Ovis aries: one gene and its partner. The protein of the gene in region 2 interacts with the protein of the main gene of each other region in a pairwise test. Links are inferred from orthologs where the notes say so. Each region holds a gene or a part of one and is shown on either strand. Other genes may lie near its edges.

Region 1 (7,004 bases), on a different chromosome or scaffold from region 2:
AGCCTAGCGGGCTACAGTCTATGGAGTCACAAAGAATCAGACAGGGCTGAGTGACTGAGTACATGAGAGATACTGAAGAACCTAAGCTACTCCATTTTGTGAAAGAAGACTCCATTTTGTAAAAATTCCCGGAAAAGAGCTTTTTGGAAATTCCTTAACCTCACCTCACCACCCTGGGACCAATCAGAACCCTTGGCCAGCCCGGGGAAACGGGAACCAATCAGAACCCAACACCCAACCCTTCCACAGAAGGTAACCAGTTAGGCGTCTCCCAACCCTAAAACTCCCGGTTTTCAAATTTTTCGCGCGAGAATACCTTGTATAAACAATGAAACCCAGAGCTCAGGGCTCGTCCCTATAGCTGCTGCGTTGGTATCAGTGGGAGCCCCAGCTCGAGCTTGGTAATAAAAACTCTCTTGCTTTTGCATCGGATATCGGCTCCCTGGTGGTCTTTGGGAGATTTTACGACTTGGGCATAACAATACATGGAACTTGACTTTTCCCAGACAACAAGTTTTCCCATTTTAGTGATTGATGAATATCCCTTTCCCCCATTAATTCATGGTGCTTTTTATCCTGTGGGAAGGTTTTACATTTCCCGAGTCCCCTTCCAGGCCATTCCATCCCTATTTCATCCGTCTGGCTATTTCTGAACAAACATGCTACAGTATTATTCTGGATACTCTTGTTCAGTCACTGAGTTGTGCCTGGCTCTTTGCAACCCTATGGACTGTAGCCCTCCAGGCCCCTCTGTCCATGGGACTGATTTCCCAGGCAAGAATACTGGAGTGAGTTGCCATTTCCTTCTCCAGGGGATCTTCCTGACTCAGGGACAGAACCCACGTCTCCTGCATTGGCAGATGGGTTCTTTACCACCGAGCCACACGGGAAGCCATATTTTTATGGAGACTTTCTTTTTACACATCTGGTATAGCAAGTCCTCTATATCATTGTCTCTTTCAAAAGCATCTTAGTTATTCTTACCAACTTATTCATCCTGATGAAATTTATTTATTATTTTAATTTTCTATTGCTTTGGCTGCACTGGGTCTTTATTGTGGCTCAAGGGTTTAGTTGCTCCATAGCATATGGGATTTTGCTTCCCTGACCATGGATGGAACCTGTATCCTCTGCACTGGAAGGTGGATTCTTAACTGCTGGATCACCAGAGGAGTTCCCAGATAGAATTTAGAGTTTGACACATTTCCCCCAGATCCTGTGGAAACTGGGGTTGCATGTCTTCCTGTCTTGGGCGGGGCGGTAGTTATTCTTGTATAGGTTCTGCTCAACCTTATTTCTAAGAAACTATTGTGACCATGGTGAAGTGGATTTCCCTGAGTATCCCTGCTCAGACCACTACTAATCATTGTTCGAATAACGAAAAGCAAGTGATTTTTTTGGCGATTCAACTGCATAGGTACTTACTGAACTGTATTACAAATTCTGAGAGGGTCTTAAGTGCTTATTTTGGAATTTTTAGATGGACCACCGCACCTACATATAATGGCACTTTGTTTTCTTTTTTCCCCAAAGATAGTTAAGACTTCTTGCTCAATTTTATTGCATTGATTAGGTCTACTGGATGTGTTCAAAGCATTCTCGCTTTACTCCTGATTTTAACAGGAAAACTTTTGGTAATTCATATCTATGTTCCACTGTGGCTGACAGTTTGACATACCTTTTAAAAATCGTGTCCAGGAAGTACCTGCCATGGAAATGACAAATGGGAGGACTAACACTAGAAGCTTTTTTTTTTTTTTTTAAGGGGGGATGCCTTCAGCTGGACAGAGGGCTCTGGGGGTTGTTAATTACAAATCCTTTTGTGCTGATTCTTGACTCTCTGCCTGAATTATGAATAGGTCTACTTTTACTTGTGGCTCAGCTGGTAAAGAATCCACCTGCAAAGTGGGAGATGGGGGTTCGATCCCTGAGTTGATCGTCTCCAGTATTCTGGCCTGAAGAACGCCATGGTCTGTGTCGTCAGTGGGGTTGCACAGAGTCGGACGTGACTGAGCCACTTTCACTCACTACTTTTACTGGGGCTTCCCTCCTGGCTCAGATGGTCAAGAACCTGCCGGCAATGCAGGAGATCTGGGTTCGGTCCCTAGATTGGGAAGATTCCCCTGGAGAAGGGAATACCAACCCACTCCAATATGCTTGCCCTGGAGAATCCCATGGACAGAGGAGCCTGGCAGTCTATGGTCCATGGGGTGGCAAAGAATCAAACACGACTGAGCGACCAACACTTCCCCTTTCTGCTTTTGCTTTAAAAACAACCGCAAGAATAAAAACACAAACACTTTTATTGACAGTTTTCAAAGAACTCTAAAGTTTTAAGAACGGATGCCAACAGTTACTCATTGAGTGTTAAGAGGACCTCGGCTGTTCCTGTCACCCACTGCTGTTTCAGATTCCCGGGGCGTCGGGTCAGCCCTGCGTTGTTTCTCGAACAAAAGCCCAAATGCCCTGGAATACTGTTATCGCGGATTCAGTGGCCTTTTAGGTGGGGCGTCTCAAGTCTGACTTGGTCCTGGAAGGTGGCCCCTGGCTGTGGGTCGGGGTCGGCGGGGGACCCGGCCACTCTTGTCTGGGTACTGTCCCCACTCCGCGAATTGCGTTTCCTGGGACATTTTTCCCCCAAACCCCAAGGGCCCAGAGCTCCGGGAGGCGTTTGGTTCTTTGATAAATTTTCCAAGTTTCTTTCCCTGGTCCTTTCTGAGCCGCTGTTGGCAGTTCGGTGGCCTCTGCCTGGTTTTGGGAAAGTGAGATCATGGGTCAGCCCCGCGTGGCCAAGTGGATGCTCCAGGTGGGGACCGACCAACAGGCTGGCGGCCCGAGCCGGGGGGCGGGGCAAGGGGCCTCGGGGAGGGGCCGCGTCCCGGCCTAGCCCCGCCCAGCGCCGCCGCCGCCGCGCAAGCGCCCTGGGCCTGCCCCGGCGAGTGCTGAGCGCCCCGGCGAGTGCTGAGCCCTCCGGCGTGCCGTCGTTACCCGGCCTGCCCCGCGCGGTCGCCGCCGGAAGTGAACTTGGCGTCGCGAGTGGCCGGGGTTTCCGTGAGTTGTGGCCTCGCGTGTCCGCGGCTCCATCGCGGGGCGGCGGAGCCCGACGGGCGGAGGCTGGTCGGTGGCCGCCATGGCCGGGGATCAGGACATGTTCGACGCTGTCGTGATGGCAGATGAGAGGTGGGTGGGTCGGGGCCCCCAGCCCTCGCGTGTCGGCTCTCAGCCTTGGGCTGCGGCCCTGGGGGAGCGCACTGGGGCCCTGGGGGCATCCGGCGCGGGAGGGCCCAGGATGCTGTTACTTCCCCTTCTCGGGCGAGCGCCAGGCGCCCAGCTGCTCCTCAGGACCCGCCTCCCTCCTCTGGGGCTGCCCCCATGCATCTGCTCGGCCTGGTGACTGCCTCCCTCCAGGGACGCCCCGTCCTCGGGTGGCGCGGACCTCTGCCATCTGGGCGCTGCCCACCTCTTTCTCGTTCCTCAGTAATAGGACAGACGGCCGCATTCACGGACAGGCTCATCAAGGTGTCAGGCGTCATCCTTTTCCCTCCTGAGCCCCTGGGCAGCGCCTAGGGGCTGTGGCAAGGCAGGGGTGGCGGCGGGTGGGGGTGGTGAAGCTCTTGGCTGCTTTGATGGCTTTCTTCCAGTGCCCAGCCCGCTTGAGACATCGATAGACGTCCCTGAGAAAGAGGGAGCAGGAAGCGATCAGTCGCTGACAGTTCATTTGGAACTTGCTGTGAGCTGCAGGCTGAACTAAGCCTTGTACCCCCGTTATCTGTTTTATCCCAACTTGTGGACTAGATCCCGTCTTTGAGATGGGGAGGCAAGGTCGCTCCGGGGGCGGGAGCCAGTATAAGTGGGAATGACGCAGTTGGTCTCGCCGGGTGCTCCAGCCAGCCCCTTTCACTTCGGTGGCCCGTGGGTTGTGACAGTTCCGCTGCCGGCCCCTGTAAGTCAGAGCCTTTATTCTACCACAGGCCCTGCCGTCATGGTACACTTTGCAGCCAGTGTTGTTGCCTGGAGAATCCCAGGGACGGGGGAGCCTGGTGGGCTGCCGTCTGTGGGGTCACACAGAGTCGGACACGACTGAAGCGACTTAGCAGCAGCAGCAGCAGATGGCGCTTCTCCTTGCCTGGCTCCTGAGGTGTAATGGAAAAGCCTGGTGCAGACGGCAGAGTTTCGTTTGTCTGTTTTGAAGCTCTTGCCCAAACAGTCTAGCTTACAGACTCACAGAACTGGGGCTGCTGACTAAGTCACTGGGGAAATTTCAAAAAGCGGATTCCTGAACTTTAGTGAGATAAGGGCAAGGCTCCTGAATTTGTATCTTTGGGATTTTCCTGTGTGTTTCCAGTATTCTCCCCGGTTTGGGAATCCCTGATTTAGCCCAGCTTTCTCATTGTAGAAGCGCTGAGTTTGGCTTCAAGAAGTACAGCGACTTGCCACAGCAGAGGCTCGGGGAGGGGTGGAGCTGACGTTGGACCTAAGTTTTATGGTTTAGGTTCTCTTATTTTTCTTTAATGCTGCTAGGTCTCGTCTTGCAGTCTGGGTCTAGGTCTGGGTCACGTGGAGGAATGAGTTTTTCCAGGAAGAATCGTCTTTCTCCTGTTTATTCACTCAGACTTGCTGCTTCTCCGTTGCAGGTTTCACGGGGAAGGGTACCGGGAAGGCTATGAAGAAGGAAGCAGTTTGGGTATGATCGAAGGGAGACGGCACGGCACGCTCCATGGAGCTAAAGTCGGATCTGAAGTGAGTGGGGACCTCCCCCTGCCCCACCACCACCTAGAAAGGAGTCCTGTTCTTTTACTGTTGACAGTTTACCTTGACGGTCAGTATGATCAAGCCACAATTTCAGGCCTCTTAAAGTGGCAGTAGGCTAGATAGACTGTGGATGGAGGCGTATTCCTAGGGCAGAGCCTGCAGAGCCTATGGCTGTGTGGCGATGACGCAGGTGGATGGGCTGGAGGAAAAACAAGCCCCTCGTCACCTCAGTGGATGTCGAGTGTCGTGGTGCCGAGTCCTCTTGCAGAGAGTGAGCACCCCGGTGTCGTGTGAGAGCGTGCCGTGGATATTTACACAGGAATCCCGTAAACTCCCCGGTTTTCCTTTTCTCCTGCCTTTTGTCCTGGATGGGCCCTCACTTACAGGTGATTGGCTGTAAACAGCGAAGTCTGAGACCACTGGAACTGTATTAGGCATCTGTGGCTTCAAAACGAAATCAGTACAAGGCACGTGGCCTTAAAGACAACCAGTGTTACTTATCTCGCAGAGGTCCTGGGGGTCCGTGGTCCAGGAGCAGTTGAGCCGGGTGGTTCTGGCTCAGGGCCTCTTGATGCTGGAGTTAAAAGTCAGCCACTCGAAGGCTTGCCTGGGGCCAGAAGAGGTACTTCTCAGATGGCTTGCTCCCTCCGCATCTTCTGCATGTGGACTTCTCCTTAGAGCCGCCCAAGCGTCCTCCTAACCCTGTGTGGGTGGCCTGGGTGGGCAGGGCAGAGGTGACATTGCCCGTTAACACCTAAATCCGGAGGTCACGTGCCACCTCTTCTGTGTTCTGCTCATCACGGCCACCCGATACAGCTGGGAGACCCCACAGGCACAAGTACCAGTGGAGTGGGAGGCGGGGCCAGTGGGCCGCCTTGGAGGCCAGCTGTCCCGCTGATAACTCGACCTCCGACCTCCATTTCCTGCTCCAGCACAAGAAGACACGCCCTGCGCCCCCTCCCGTCCTCCCCCACTTTAGTTTTGAGAGCTTGATAATTAGATCAAATACAGCGCTCGGTTATTCATTGTGCTCTTAAATGTCTTGTCAATTCACAGATTGGGTGCTACCAAGGCTTCGCGTTTGCTTGGAGAGGTCTCCTGCACAGTTGCGCCACTGAGAGAGACAGGTAAGGCGGAACCTCCTTTCTTCTTTGGCGTCTGGACCAGAGTTGCGGTTCCGTGGTGCACCCTGATCGCGGGGGGTTAGAGTCTCAGTCTCCTCATCTGTAAACCGGAGAAAACAGTCGGGCTGAAATAAGCTTGTGCAGTTGTTACAAGGTTTACAGGAAATAGTGCCTAGCAGGTACGGGCCCGTTTGGGGTGTTGGATGAACACCTACTGTTTTCTCAAGGGTCCTCTGATCTCCCCCGCCTTTTCCCTGGAGGCCTTCAAGCACTCCCTGCCAGTGAAGGCAGGTTGAAAACGATTTTATCTTCTCGTTTCCCCTGAGCTTCTGATAAACAGAGCACAGTAGTCTGGGTGTGATCCAGGTTCAGAAATGGTGACCCCACTGTCACTGGGACTTTTTACGTAGCCAGGAGGTCTAACAAGGTGATCGGGCCCGTGTGTTTTGCCCGTGTCAGGAAGCGCTAAGGAGCCGTTAGCTGTCCTCTGTAGCGTGTAGCCTTCTGAACCTGTCAGAAGTTACAGGTGCCACTTCCTGAAGCCCCAGGACCCTGTCCCCACCTGCGGTCTTCACTCTTCACCCGTCCGTGAAAGGCTGTGCTGCCGCTCAGGGGATCCTACGCGGGGCTTCAGCGGCTGCCCCATGTCCTTCGGATGCCCGGTGGCTTTGCCTGGCCAGGGAGGGGCTCCAGGAATGTGAGTGACAGAGCGCAGAAGCCGCATTCCCCCGTCCACGTGACTTGTCATCTTATTTGGAATGTTTTGAATTTCTAGAATTTGTGCCACCGCCATATTCATGTGTCAGAGCAGGGATGCTCGAGACAGGGTCTGGGTGATTCTGGGGTCGCTGCTTTCTGACCTGTCCCATCACTGATCAAGTGGGATCTGACCAGACTCGTCCACCGCGCAGGGCCACCTTGAGGAGGTTTTCCTCTAAAGACCCAGCGGGCGGCGGCGTGGCCGGTGATCTGGCTGGGACGGTGGGTGGCAGCGCGTGGCAGCACTGGGTGCCGGTCAGGGCTACAGGTGCCTCTGCACTTCTGGCCCGTGAAGGTGGGGGTGGCGCGCCTGGTCTTGGAATTCTCCAGCAGCCTCCCCTTGTCCCTTTGCTGGCGTCTGCAGCGCAT
Region 2 (7,180 bases):
CTGGTTTCATGAAATGATTTAGGGAGTTTCTTTTTCTGTGCCCTACAAGAGTAAAAAAATGATATTTATTTATCCATCATTCTTTAAAGATTAAAAAGGATTTAAAGCATTTAACTGTAAAATTCTCATCTCTATGCTATTTTTATAGTGGATAATCTCCAATTTTTCTATGGTAATTAGTTTCTTCACGTTTTCTACTTGCTTGATAAATTTTATTAGGAAGTCATCATATCACCTGTTTTCAAATGTGTCAAAGTTTTAGTCAGTAATTTATAATATTTGATTTTTTTCCTGTATCATTACCTTCCTTCTCATTTTTATGTTGTATATATATTTTTTTTAATTCAGGGTCAAACAACCAGCTTTTGGAATTACTTATGCAAGTTTGGGTGTTTGTATTTTATTAATTTCAATTGTTTTATTTACTGCTTCCCTTACTATCAGTTTGTTTCTAACTAAGATACATGGTAATTCTGTCTTGTTTCTCTTTCTTCTTTAATAATAAAAACATTAAAGCCTCCAGAATTGCCTAATAAGACAGCTTTCATTTGTTTTCAAGTTTTTTTGGTACGAATTATTCTGATTTTTATTGCTTATTATATTGTTTTAATTTTTATTTACTTTTTGATTCAAATGTTATTTAGGAAGATGCTTATGTCCAATATTATATTTAAATTATAATTTAAATTATTGGAGTAACTTATTTATTATCAATTATATTGGATGATTAGTTTATTAAGGTTTTTTGTTACAAAGTGTCACAATGTTTTTATATATTCCATGGACCTACCAAGTATTGCATATATTTTTCATATATTGAATATATACAAAAAATTTTCTCTGAACACTTAAAATGGTAACATATACTACCTAACTGCCCTCACTCACACACATACCCATAGCTCTCTTTACTTTGCTTGTTTCTAAATATTTTTCCATAGCATGTATCATAATCTTGTAACAAACGGTATAATTTACTTATATAGTGTTTATTACTTATCCTCTGGCAATTCCTCATGAATGTCAGAGCTGGGACTTCTGTGTGTTGTTCACTGATGTATCTCAAAAGCATATAACAGTGCCTGGCACAAGGCAAATATTCAAGAAAATTTGTTAGCTAAGTAAATCATCATTACCACATGGGCTTCCCTGGTGGCTCAAACTGTAAAGAATCCGCCTGCAACGCAGGAGACCCTGGGTAGGGGAGATCCCTTGGAAGAGGGAATGGCTACCCATTCCAGAATTCTTCCCTGGAGAATTCAATGCACAAAGGAGCCTGTAGAGCTACAGTCTGTGGGCTTGCAGAGTCACACAGGACTGAGCTATGAACACACACTACCACATGAGTACGCAAAGGGCCAAACAGGAATACTGATGGTATCTACTCATTCATTAACTTTTGTTTCAACACCTACTACAATTCGGAACAGTGCCGGTGCTGAATTTTTTTTTTTTAATTTTTTAATTTTTTTATTTTTTTACTTTTAAAATCTTTAATTCTTACATGCGTTCCCAAACATGAACCCCCCTCCCACCTCCCTCCCCATAACATCTCTGTGGGTCTTATATAAAGACAAGTCTCCATCCTCACCAGTGGTCTTTTCTGGCATTTCAGAAGGAACAGGAGTCAGACAAGGATGCTGTGAATCAATGAGAAATATATTTCGTTTCATAAACGCTCTCTATATTTACTGATCTCAATAGGGCTGCAATATTTTAACTTCTTTAATGTCCTTTGTTCCACGCTCCTAACAATTGAAACAGTCGGGCAGTCCAAACCTTTAAATGCACTGAAAGAAAGAAAGCTCAGTCGTGTCCGACTCTTTGCAATCCATGGACTGTAGCCTACCAGGCTCCTCTGTCCATGGGATTTTCCAGGCAAGAGTACTGGAGTGGGTTGCTATTTCCTTCTCCAGGGATCCTCCTGACCCAGGGATTGAACCTCGGTCTCCCGCATTGTAAGGCGGATGATTTACCATCTGAGCCACTAGGGAATGACGGAGTGCCTCAAAAGAACTACCTCAAAGGGTTTTGCCAATGCACGCGTCTTCAAAACCCAGACCCCAGCAGACACCACGGTAGAAGAGCACAGTGTTTCACTGAATGCTGGCGCTGCCTTCCGCAATCAAGGTCAGAGGGGCTCCGCCTGGCCCACAAGTGCACGGCGACATTTCCAGCTTAGTTATGGGTACTTCCAAATATCAGGGAGCAAAAGCCTCGAGGGGAAACCAGGACCTTCCTGGGACCGGTGACCACTCCGTGAACCGGTCACAGCGTTCAGACACCACGCACATCTACGCGCACGCGCAGCGGTGCCGCGAGCTCCGCAGTCTGTCTTCGCTCCGCCCCTCGGACCGGAAGGAGTTGCCGGCCCTTCCGGCGTCCGGCAGCCCGGTGGTTGCCTCAGTGATGTCGTGGGTTCAAGCTGCTTCTTTGGTCCAAGGTCCTGAAGAGGAGGGGGACGTGTTTGACGAGGAAGCTGATGAGTCGCTCCTGGTGCAGCGGGAATGGCAGAGCCATATGCAGAGACGAGTCAAAGTAAAGCTGCGTGGAGAGGGCGGGGGTCCGTTGCTGTACCGGGTTGTTAGCGCTGGAGCTGGGAGTTGTGAGAAGGTGGGGTCCCAGGATGAAGGCCGGAGTGGTCGCGACCTGGCCTGGCGCTGCCCTCCCTCTCCCGTACCATTCAGTCTGGCCCATGTCCTGCTAGAGTTTCCCAGTGGGTTACTTGAAACCGTGCTACACCACAGGATGCTTTCCTCGAGCGCCCGTGGAGTGTGTTGGATGGACACCGGGGACCGAAAAATATAACCTTTGTCAAAGACTTTGAAGAGATTTCAGTTTGATGGGCATCAGAGGAAAAGGGGTGGAGGAGAAACATTTACACTGTTCTAATTATGTCTGTCAAAGGACATGTAGGCAGTTGACATGGGTTGCTTGAATGAGTGGGGAGCCTAAAGTTAGGAGTAGTGTTAATCAGGACAGATGGAAAAAGTGAACTTAAGAATGCTGTCAGAGGGCAGTAAGAGAAAGCTAATAAGGAATGGAGTCACAGAGTCAGACAAGGCTGAGCGACTGAACAAAATAAAGGAATGGTGGTGGCTACCTAAGGGAGTATTAATGTATTTTTTTAATTTGTTGGGTGTGAATTATCCATATCTAATTTGTCTGACTCTTCACTGAGTCTCAGCTTAATACCGCACACCATTTCCAGGTGGAGCTTTCAGAGCTTAGTTCAGGGTGAGGACCAAATGATGAGATCTGTGCCTGCTAGTGTCCTTGCCAACCATTAAATTGCCATTAAGTCTGCCCTTGTTTAATGTCTCAGTAAAATAATATTTGCTTAGCACAACAACAATGTTGTCAACTTCAGAAATGCCTTATGTGAAGCTGGGGCTAAACCAGTAAATATTGAGCACCTTTTGAGTGTTGTGGCAGGACAAAATCCTTGGGCACAGAGGATTTTCAGTTTACTTAAATTAAGGAAAATTTCTAAATCAAGCAGAATTTCTAAAACCAGCCCTCTCATCTTCCTTTTACTATACCAATTTCCTCTTTCCCTACTCCAGTTCCAAGACCTTGGTAACCCTGCCCTGCCTTATCCACTCACACCAATCCAGTTTCTAAAGGACCAGACACCTAATTCTCCATGTTTCCTTTCTGTGGAGCTATTGCTAACACGGATTTTTTTTTTTTTTGTATATATGTAGAATCAATATTTTAAAATGTGTCCAATAAATCTAGACTACAAAAATGGGATAAGCCAACAATAAACTTTTATGAGAAGCATAGTCTACTTTGGTTGTGTGATTATGCCATATGTTATAGAACCATGATGTTAAATAACACAATAGAGGCCTGTTTCATCAGTTTCTAAATTGGTTCTGTGACTTTCTAGAAAAATCTACACTGGTTTACTTGGTGTTAAGTTACAACTGTAATTCTTCATTACTTATATTTAGGAAGGCTACAGAGATGGAATAGATGCTGGCAAAGCAGTTACTCTTCAACAAGGCTTCAATCAAGGTTATAAGGAAGGTGCAGAAGTCATCATAAACTATGGACAACTTAGAGGAACATTGAGGTAATTTTTAAAACTTAAATGCTGAATTATTTTAACCTTTGTACTAGTGGAGGGTTTTGATGAAAGTAATATGTAAGAAAGTGTAAGCTGAACTGCTTCCCCTAGTGTTAAAGCCATGAAAGGGTACTGCAGAGCATAGACTAAAATTGCCTTCAAAAAGTCAGCAGTTATCCACTTTAATATGTGAGCCAGATGTTATCTTTTATTGCAAAGAAATGATACAAAGGTGTCTTCTTTTTTGCTACCTGAACTACCACCAATCTGTATCTCAAAGTAATTGAAAAAATCTTCAGGTTTTGGGTAACGTTTTTATTCTTGCACATGTGGCAGAACACAATAAAACAGATGTCTAGACTAGCGATACCTGATGAAGAGTATAGCTAGTAACAGAAAAAGTATTCCATTTACTTTGTTTCTGAACGTTGAACACCTGTCAGGATGTCATAGGAATAATGGCATGTATTAGAACCAAGTGGTCCAAAGGCACATGGAGCTACGAGCATGGCATGCTTGTCCTCTTTGATGCTTTGTACCTTTTAACCTGTCCTCTATAGAGAAAAACATAAATGCTTCAAAGAATCACTGATTTTTACAAGGTATGCAATAAAAGTTAACAGGACAGAGACTTCCCTGGCAGTCTAGTAGTTAAGACTCTGCACTTTCAATGCAGGGGATGCAAGTTTGATCTCTTATCAGGAGATGAAGATCCCACATGCCATAAGATGGCACAGCCAAGAAAAAAATAAAAATTAAAAATAAAATTAGAAAAAAGTTATCAATACAAAAGTTCATTACATTTGAGGTTTTATAAAATTCAGCTGTCAGGAATCAGCATTTATAGTATACTATAGTAAGAAAATGATCATGTGTTCATCTTCACATCAAGTTAAATTAATTTTTTATAAGCTTAGAAAACTTATTGCAGGGTATCTGCTGGCAATGCAGTGGATTTGGACTTCATGTTTTTATTTTCGAGGCCTGCGTTCAGTCCCTGGTCTGGGAACTAAGTTACCACAAGCTGTGTGACATGGCAAAAAAAAAAAACCTTATTGCTAACATTATTACTTTTCACAATAACCATTATTTCGTGAGATGAATAATATGAATGTAGGAAAGTAAAAGTACTATCTATACTAAAAAAAAGTAAAGAAAAATAATTATTAAGACTGGAAGAATTCTAACCTCCTTCAATAAAATTGTTAGTAAAGTATCTAACAAAGTTGGAAAAGTGAGTTGTCTCAAAACTTTTTTTCCCCTCACCTTCAGTTTTGATGTCAAGCAGCTATACGGTTATAACAGTGATTTTTAACCTTGGTTACACCTTGTTATCAGCTGGGAAGCTTTTAAAAAAATAACACCCCCAGAGATTCTGATTTAATTGGTCTCAGGTGTGACCTGGACCTTGATAAGGTTTAAAAGTTTTGCAGGTAATTCTGATGTGCATCCAAGATTGAGAAACACTAGTTTAGAAGCTGGTTTCTGCCTTTAAAAGAAAAACTATTTTTTCAGGTCTTTTCTTTCTCTTGAGTTGTATCCATCTTCAACAGAAGCTACACAATCATAAGGGGAAAATAAAATCAGGGAAAATCGATGAGGACCTGTGAAGGAGGGGTTATGAATTATAAACAGTTTATATGATTAACTCCAGTTGTTTAATTTCTGTTGAAAGATAATGTCCTTATATTTATAATCTTATTTTACCATCATTACTTTCCTGATTTTGACTCACATTGCTATTATTAATAATTTTTGCATGATTTTATCTAGAAGAGAAACATGAAAGCCTTAGCTTCAAAAATTCTAAAAGCCTTTGATTGTTTAATTTTTTCCTCTTTAACTCTTATTTATATTTTCGTTCAGTGCTTTGCTCTCCTGGTGTCACCTTCATGATGATAGTTCGGCTTTGGTCAGTAAAATAAATAATCTTCTGGATGCAGTTGGCCAGTGTGAAGAGTATGTGCTCAGACATCTGAGATCAGTCACTTCACAGCCACATGTTGTAGACTTATTGGACTCCCTTCAGGATATGGACCTTTCTCATGTAGCTCCAGCTGAGGAAAAGATTGATGAAGCTAAAGATGAAAGATTCTGTGAAAATAATGCTGAGTTTAACAAAAACTGTAGTAAGAATCTTAGTCAGGTAGATTGTTCATCTTTAGAATGTTGTAGAGCCCAGGAGCATGAACGCCCTGAAAACCCAAGCCTCACTTGGATTTTAGAACAGACAGCCAGTTTGGTAAAACAGCTGGGAGTATCAATAGACATATTACAACACCTCAAGCAACTATAAAAATTACCTTCACTTTAATAATGGAAGCGATGTTCAGAACATTTTTAGAACATTTTGTTTCTGAACAAGCTAACCAAAATTTGCACTGGTTTCTACACTTCACTTGTAAGGGTATCCCTTCATGTAATGTTGAAACATCTTCAAAATTAATACTATTAAAGGTAATATAATCCTTCTTTCTTTGTCACTGGCAATTTTTATGTGGTTTAAGATATGCTCAAAAATTCCAGTTGTCTTCATTTTCAAATTTCTGGGGACTCATTACCAAAAGAAATTAACAAGAATCAGACTACAGTTGACCCTTGAACAACACAGGTTTTAAAAGTACCCACCCACCATGCAGTAAAAAAAGCTGCGTACTACTTATAGCTGGCCCTCCATATCTGCAGTTATGAGTCTCAGATTCAACCAGCCTCAGATCATATAGTACTGTAATATTTACTATTGAAAAAGGTCCAAGTGTAAGTGGACCCTCAGGGTTCAAACCCATGTGTCCAAGCATCAACTGTTATTTTGTAAGGACTTAGCCCTACTTTCTGCTCCTGTCACATTGTCTTATGATTAGGACCTCGTCAACTAATCAGACCAAAGTTACAAAAAATAACCTAAAGGCTAAAGTTGTAAATAGACACATATATATATATATATATATGTGGATGTATTATATTTGAAATTAAGAGGCTAATAAGTGTAAAGCTGAAGACATGTTTATACTGATAATTAAAAACAATTCTAAAGTTTGCTTTAGTTTTTTATTTAAGTATTACTGATTTTTTGTTGAAGTGTAATTTTTTTATAATGTTTCAGGT

Evidence for each region.
Region 1: the proteins of YAE1 (region 2) and LTO1 interact in binary tests that used the Homo sapiens proteins (3 or more experiments, as listed by UniProt). The link is inferred for Ovis aries from reciprocal best matches to the Homo sapiens genes YAE1 and LTO1.

What each region holds. Positions count from the first base shown.
Region 1 is NC_056074.1:43,306,205-43,313,208, reverse strand, and holds the start of LTO1 (protein LTO1 homolog), read left to right. Parts: upstream 1-3,011; 5' UTR 3,012-3,130; coding exon 3,131-3,180; intron 3,181-3,525; exon of another isoform or gene 3,526-3,730; intron 3,731-3,971; exon of another isoform or gene 3,972-4,265; intron 4,266-4,634; coding exon 4,635-4,740; intron 4,741-5,808; coding exon 5,809-5,879; intron 5,880-7,004. UniProt on the Homo sapiens protein: The complex LTO1:YAE1 functions as a target specific adapter that probably recruits apo-ABCE1 to the cytosolic iron-sulfur protein assembly (CIA) complex machinery. May be required for biogenesis of the large ribosomal subunit and initiation of translation.
Region 2 is NC_056057.1:82,946,699-82,953,878, reverse strand, and holds the start of YAE1 (protein YAE1 homolog), read left to right. Parts: upstream 1-2,388; 5' UTR 2,389-2,409; coding exon 2,410-2,613; intron 2,614-3,959; coding exon 3,960-4,081; intron 4,082-5,941; coding exon 5,942-6,371; 3' UTR 6,372-7,180. UniProt on the Homo sapiens protein: The complex LTO1:YAE1 functions as a target specific adapter that probably recruits apo-ABCE1 to the cytosolic iron-sulfur protein assembly (CIA) complex machinery. May be required for biogenesis of the large ribosomal subunit and initiation of translation.